2 linked regions of the Lonchura striata genome follow. The protein of the gene in region 2 interacts with the protein of the main gene of each other region in a pairwise test. Links are inferred from orthologs where the notes say so. Each region holds a gene or a part of one and is shown on either strand. Other genes may lie near its edges.

What was found. The genes of interacting proteins can lie anywhere in the genome.
Region 1: the proteins of SH3YL1 (region 2) and SH3D19 interact in binary tests that used the Homo sapiens proteins (3 or more experiments, as listed by UniProt). The link is inferred for Lonchura striata from reciprocal best matches to the Homo sapiens genes SH3YL1 and SH3D19.

What each region holds. Positions count from the first base shown.
Region 1 is NC_134606.1:43,631,696-43,635,441, forward strand, and holds the start of SH3D19 (SH3 domain-containing protein 19), read left to right. Parts: upstream 1-824; 5' UTR 825-1,063; coding exon 1,064-1,181; intron 1,182-3,746. UniProt on the Homo sapiens protein: May play a role in regulating A disintegrin and metalloproteases (ADAMs) in the signaling of EGFR-ligand shedding. May be involved in suppression of Ras-induced cellular transformation and Ras-mediated activation of ELK1.
Region 2 is NC_134605.1:94,425,821-94,429,566, forward strand, and holds the start of SH3YL1 (SH3 domain-containing YSC84-like protein 1), read right to left. Parts: upstream 2,537-3,746; 5' UTR 2,493-2,536; coding exon of another isoform or gene 2,492-2,492; 5' UTR 2,250-2,491; coding exon 2,249-2,249; intron 1-2,248. Other genes in the region: ACP1 (low molecular weight phosphotyrosine protein phosphatase), read left to right, coding at 2,601-2,643.

The sequences.
Region 1 (3,746 bases), on a different chromosome or scaffold from region 2:
GATTTGGTTTTACAGCTACCATATGAAGTAAAGAAGCAATATAATTTCTACTTAGATATGGGTGACTGAGGGCCCTGGGGGTGGGGAGAAATTAGAGGTAAAACCACACCGGCGTCCAACTTAAAACGTGGCCATATTTTTCATATCACTACAGCTGTGTTAAGTGTGTACCTCACTGGTTTCAAGTAGGTCCTTCTTAAGTAGTTCAAACCACGGTAATGAACTCGGGCCAAGACACACATCCTCCTAGCCGTGAACCACAACTGCTGCCGGTCAAAAACCTGCCTGCCCCCAGCCCTCAGCCAACATCGGGGCCACAGTATGCTGCACCTACAATTCCCACAGCTCCCGGGGCTCCCGACTTTCTATGCACAACTGCCCTTGCCACCTCACAGGCTCACAGAATTGTTAGGAGGTCATCTAGTTCAAGCCCCCTGCCAAGGCAGGGTCACCTGGAGCAGGTAACACAGGAACGTGTCCAGGTGAGCTTTGTGTCTCCAGAGAGGGAGGCTCCACGACCTCCCTGGGCAGTGCTCTGGCACCCTCAACGTAAAGTTCTTCCTCACGTGGAGGTGGAACTCCTTGTGGTTTAGTTTACGGCTATTGCTCCTTGTTGTGTCGCTGGGTACCACTGAAAAAGAGTCTGGCATCTCCGTGCTGTGGTCACGAGGCGAGGCAGACCTCGCACCCTGTCGGCCCTTCGGCGGAGCCCGCCCGGGCCCGCCGCTCCCCGGCCCATCCCCGCGCGGCGCCCGGCGGAGCCGCCCGGCGGAGCGCGGCTGCCCAGCGCCGGCAGCCAGGTACCTCCCCCCGCCGCCGCCTCCTCCGCCCCCTTTTGTGGCGGTGCCAGGCGGCCGCCGGGTTTCCTGCTGACGCCGGAGAGCCGCGGATGGGCAGGAAAGGCCGCTTCTGCTCCCGCCTGGCCCCGCCGGCAGCAGCGCGGAGCGGTCTCCGGGAGAAGCGCGGCGGAGAGGGCGCAGGTGCGGGGCGGGCCCGGCGGCCGCGAGGGCCGGGCGGCCGCGCCGGAGAGAGCGCGCCGGTCATGGCAGCTCCCGCTTCTTGAATGCTGCCAGCTGCCCCGCCGCCGCCGATGGCCGAAGCCTGGAGGCTGGAGGAGGACGAGGAGGAGCTGCGGGAGCTCGGCAGGAGGCACCGGAGGGTCGCGCTGAGCTCGGCAGCAGGTGAGCGGCGAGGGCGCGGCGGGCCGCGGCGTCGCGTCCTTTGGGCTGGCCCTGGCCCGCTCCCCGTGTCTGGGTTCCTGTCGGGGGCTGGGCGGCATTGGAGGTGCCGCCCCAAGGTGTGCCGCCCCGGCGGCCTCGCCCCAGGGCAGCGCGGTTCAGCTCAGGTGCGCCCGGGCCGCAGGCGTGTGCCCGCGGGCCGCCCCCAGAGCCTGCTCCCGCTCTGCGCTCACCACAGTCATACAGTGGTTTAAGTTAGATGGGACCTAAAGACCACCCGGTTCCTACTCCCCTGCCGTGGGCAAGGACTCCTTCAACTAGACCAGGTTGCTCAGAGTCCCATCCAACCTGTCCTTGAGAACGTCCAGGGATAGGGCATCACAACTTCTCTGAGCAACCTGTTCCACCGTTTCACCACCCTGAAGCTAGCATGGGCACGTGCGGACTAGCACAGACATGTCCAGGTGAATAGGTTGCTCCATCGGGAAATTAAATGTGCCAAGGTAGAGGAACATCTAGATAGCAAAGTTGTTCACTTTCAGCCATTTCTATGTAGGTATGGACAGCAGGCCCCGTCAAAGAGGTGAGAACCAGTGCATCTGAGAAAGAATGGAGCTGGGGAGTGAGCAGATTGTCATTGTAGAGAAACATGGACAACAACAAGCTTTTGTTTGAAATTATGAACTCAAGTGGATCCTGGCAGCAGCTGAAATTATATAATTTGAAGATCACTGTTAATTGAGGGTCAACATGCGTGCCACTGTCCTGTAGTCACTGAGGTGTGAATGCAACATTTCTTTTTCTGTCAGTGTAAAATCCCTTCCAGAATGAATCATTTCATAATGTCTGTTTCCAGGTAAAATCTCAGCCATGCTACATAGTTGAATTCCAAATATTCTGATTTTTAGTAATTATAGTACAACTGTAACAATATAGCACCCTTTGCAATTCATGTGAGTTTGCATCCATTTGAGCAACAAGAAATTGAGTCCCTTTTGCAGTAGATAAAAACACAGCAGCATGAGGGATGCTAGAGGAAAACTGAACAGGCAGGCCCTGTGGCCTTTAGTGAGTGGCTCAAGTTATGCCAATGCCTGTACAGGTGCAGGATTAGCAGGACCCTATTGAAACCACTGTCCTTTGGCATGTCTGCAGGGTTTCACCTTGTATGGGGTAAAGTGCAGAAAATCAGTGTTGGTTCCTGCATGGTTTCCTCCAGAGCAAAATGTTTGTGCTACTGGTTATGATACCTGTTTTCCAAAGGTGTTTCTTCTAGATGTTTTTGTTAGCAGAAAACATAGAATTGGTTCTACAGTTCATATATGTATGTAACCTTTGCCACCTTCTTGTTGGACAAAGCTTGTTCCCAGAATTTGTCTTTGGCACAGTGCTATTAACTAGTAATGAAAGGTGTTTTTTCAATTTTTACTAGTATTTTTTCCTGACAGCCACCGATTGAAATGGGGCCAGCACTGTTTGTTTACCTTACTGGTGTAAAGTATGTGTGAATGAACAGCATTCTGCTTGAGCAGTCTCGCCTTCTTTCCATCTGTTTGCACATCTCTACGCTGGAAAACACTACTAAGACTCCCAGCGGAGTATTCTTAAGGCATCAATGAAGAATATCATCCAAAGTAGATGAGTTTGCTGCTCTTCCCTTACTTGACCTTTATTTACATACTTTTGTTTACAAACCTGTTGAAAATTAGTGGGGCTTTTTTGCATGTAATGTGTGGTTGCAATGGTAATATAAATAGGTCTTAACTAAGCCTGTGAGATATTTTGTTGTAGGGTTTAAAAAAATTAGTGGCACCTTAGCAGGCTGTCAATTTAAGTATTTCAGTCTGTTAAACCAATTGTGAATGCAAGCAGTTCAAATTTTTGCTATGTTCAGCCGGTGCATGTCGGTGTAAGGGCAATTGATCACCTTTGTCCTGCCAGTGCAAGGCATGTGTGCAAAGTGGGAGCTGAAAGGTGAAAGTTCACAAGGGCTTCTGACTTACTGAATGCTCAGACTTATTTAGCAGTGGTTTATTGGGGAAGCAGAGCTCAGGAGGCTCTGCAGTGAGGAAGTAGTATTTTCCCTTGAAGCCAGTTCCAGTTGTGCTGCACCATGTACTGCATTGCTGTAGGATGAAGCTAGCTAGATTAAGCTAACAGCTAGCTGCTGCTCTAGAGGTGTGATCTCCTTTGGGGATGTGCTCTTCTGCTCTCTCTTGTGTGTCAGCTCTGCTGCTCGTCCAACCTGTTGGTGAGTGAAGTCACTAGAGTTGTGGTTAGGTGGTAGCCTGGGCTGATGTACTGGGTGGCTGCTCACTCGGAGCCCCTTTGCTTGCTAGAGCCTGCACCAGCCTGTTCTGGTGTGTTGTCCAAGCAGAGCGATATTTTTCTAGTTCTCTTCAGTGGTTGGGAGTCTTCTGATTCAGCTCACTGTAATGGTTTTGGGTGAATGTTGAAGCTGGCACAAGGGAAAGAGTAGGAACATGCAGCCAGAGGGAGGTAAGAGCCTATGCCAGTCAGAAGTTAGTTTGGCTTAGATTGCTGTGAAACTGCAGCCTGAGAACTGTT
Region 2 (3,746 bases):
CCTAAACAAACATCTTGTTTATCTTCTCATCAAGGCCGGAAGTATAGAGAGAATAAAAATCTAAGATGAAACCCAGATGTACAGTACAGAATAGCGCTCTATGATACCATGAAAAAAAAATTAACTACCTAAGCAAAATACAGACTCTGCTTATTTCCCAATCAATACTGAACACTTCTGTCAAGAAAACTGTCACCATCATTCTGATTCTCTCATTTCCACACTTCATAGATGTTCCAATTCACTATGTGCATGAATCAAATCTTAGAGGTCAACAATTCCTACAACTAATTAATTACTACAATTAATCAAACAAGAAACATTTCTTCAAGCTAAAGGGAATAAACCTTTAAAAAGTGAAGGTATTTCATATTTATTTATCAAGAATTAGAAAAACCCTAGTTCTTCCTAAGATCTTAGATTATCTTGTTCACAAGAGTGTTTCTTCTCCATTAAGTCATACAGGTTATCCTCCATGACAGCCCTGCATTAGAGGATCTTTTACAATAATGCAATTACTGTTTCAAAAGCCTCCAAAATATGGAGAGCTTATTACACTATAAAAAATAATTCTGAAGGGTGAGAAACTATGACATGATGTACAGTGAATTATGTCACAGTCCATTTCAAAGCATGAAGTTTTTCATTAGCTGAAGGCAAAAATTTGTCTTTCTTCCACTGCTGAGGGCTGAAAATTACAGAATCATTTAGGTTTGAGAACACCTCTGAGTTCATAAAGTTCAACCTTTGACTAATCACCACTTTGTCAGCTAGACCACAGCTCTAAGTGTCATGTCCAGTTGTTCCTTGCACACTTTAAGGGATGGTGACTCTACCAACCTCCTAGGGCAGCCTGTTCCAATGCTTGATAATCCCCCTTCAATTATATTGTGGAATAACACTTAAGGATCCTCCCCAGTCCCCTCCCAAAGACAGGGAAACATGAAAGACTTTGTCTCAAAATTAGAGCTGAGCATGTGCCTACATGTGACATACACAGCTACAAACACAGGGTTTTATAGGAACTCCAGGACAGCCTCTCAAAGCACTCGGCTTCTATAGAGAGCCTCACCCTCCCCAGCCCACAAACACAGGAATGGGTGTGCCGGAGGGGGGAATCTGCTTCCAGTGGCGACACCGCAAGGGACTGCATGTGGCAGAAAGCAGGACTGAAGGCACTCTGCACTGCTCAGCCATGTAGTATGGCAGAGCCACATGTGAGAATGCCACAACTGACTCATCTCAGCCTCCTTCACCAAGGCCTCGTCTGACAAGTAAGGAGAGCCCTTGCCCCTGCCTGGCTCCCCACCTCACACCCCGACACCTGCGAGCTGGCCTGACAACAGCAGGATGCTGCAGGCACTGGGGACAAAAACCACGCTGCTGATTACCAATTGCTTCCACTGCCAAGTCAAATAACTAGATAATTTTTAAAAAGTGGTTGTACAACTGTATTTACAAAAGAAGCTGCATATGCAGGATAGCATTTCAAGCTGCATAAAAAGAAATGTGCAGTTTGCTCCATTCCACAGCAAACATTATACAAGCTCTTCAGCTTTCATTTGCAAGTCACAGATCTCGCACAAAATTAAGATTCTGGCATTTTTTATTGAACCTCCAAAGTGCTGCATTTTGACCAGAAGACCAGCCAAGCAGGTCTTTAAAAACCAACAGAGGAATCCAGTCCTGACCACACCCGGCCATGGTGGGGCTGCGTCTGCTGCTGTTACAAAACCCAGCCAGGTACAGAGATACAGTATACAGGACAGCCCAGCAGAAAGGAATAGAAATAAATACCTCCAAAAGTTTTAAAAATTATATAATTAAAAATATAAATAAAATATAAAAACGTATGTGGATATATATACATACATATATATATATATATTTTACAATACATTGTAGGTATATATCACCTATCTATATTATACATAGATATAAAATACAACTAAATAAAACAAACTAAAAACCAGACACTCGAGCTGCCCTGGAAAGCGAAGCGCCCCTGTGTTCAATTTCACCAGCAGCCTGGCGAGGCCAAAGCCGCATTCGACGCTTCTAAGGTTTTTAGGTGGAGGACACAGCACGCGCAGCGACCCCGGGCGAGAAGAGGCTGCGGTCCCGCCCGCGCTGTACGAGCGCGTTCGCTCCGCCCGCGGGGCGCGGGGCGGCTCCGTGCCCGCCGCTCCTGCCCCTGAGGAGCCCCCCTGGCCCCGGGACCCCCGCTCCTGCCCCGGGGGATACTCACTCCTGCCCGGGCCGGGGCGCGCCCGCTCCCCCTCGCTCCCTCTCCTCCTGCCGCCGCTGCCGCCGCAGCCTCACTGGGCGGCGCCGAGGCGGCCCCGCCGAGCCGCGCACCTGCCGCAGGTGAGGCGGGCGGGGCAGAGGCGATTGCGAAGCGCCCGCTCCCCGTCCCGGCAGCGGCTCCGTCCCGTCCCTTTTCCCGGTCCCGTCCCTTCTCCCTTCCCGCTGTCCCGGGCCCGTTCCATACTTCGCTCCTTTCCCCCCTCCAAACAGGCAAATCCCTCGGCCGCCTATAACCGCCGGTGCCGTAAAGCGAAGCGCGGGCGGTGCGACAGCTGCGAGGTCCTCTGAGGAAGATGGCGGCGGGGGAGGCGAAGTCGGTGCTGTTCGTGTGCCTGGGTGAGCGCGACAGGGACGGCCGCTCCCGCCGCACCCTCTGCCTCCGCTCCGCTCTGCCCCGCCGCTCCTCGGCCCGGGGCACCGCCGGGGTGGGGCGGGAGCGCGGTGAGGCAAGGGCCGGGCCGGGGGAAGTGCGGCACCCGCCGCGGTGCCGCCCTCGGACGGTTCCGCGGGTTTGCCGTGTCGGGGAGGGCCCGAGTAGTAGCCGGGAAGTGAGAGAGAAGGCGGAATACAGCTGCGCCCTTTTTGTGATAGGAACGACGAGGAAGGGCTTGGCATTGAGGGCAGAGCACTGGAGCAGGTTGCCCGGAATGGTTGTGAAATCTCCCTCTCTAGAGACGTTCCCATCCCATCTGGACGCATTCCTGTGTAACCTGCACTAGGTGACCCTGCCTCGATAGGGGAATTGCACTAGATAATGTCCAGAGGTCCCTTCCAACCGTAATGGTTTTTTGATTCTGTGAAAGTAGTAGGAAGTAGTGAAGAAGGTGAAATGCAGTGTTGACAAACACGAATCTTGTGTGTGGGAAAGTGCAACACCTAAGTAGTCATAAACCAGCTCTGACCTAAGGCTGCTGCTTGAGGGCAGCACGGAGAGGTGGCTTTGAGCAGCGTTCTGATACGGGCTGTGCAGCACTTGGCCTCTGGAACAGCGGGGTAGGATTGGGGAGCCTGCCCGCAGGCTTGATGTTGGGAGCACTTGACGTGGGAAGGGGAGAGAAAACCACAACACGAACCACTGAAGTTAATGTAAGAGCTGCTGTAAAGACAGGGAAAGAAGGGTAGGACTTCAAGTAAAAAAAGGAACTTGGTGGAGGCTGATCTGTTATGATCTAATAATGAAATTCTTGATCTGGTATGGAAATGAGTGAAAAGAATTAAGACTTTTTTGAAATGCTAACAAAATGAAGAAACAGGAAACTTCCTTTTACTGATACTTTCTATGGTTAAGTTGTAAATCTTGTCATGCAAAGTCCCAGAAAACAGAAGTTTGATGTGATCAGAAATCACCTGAATGCTTTTCTGGAGTTTAGGACAGTCGATTACTGGTAAACAAAATAATAACAACCAGCAAATAGCTAACCTGACAATACAGATTACAG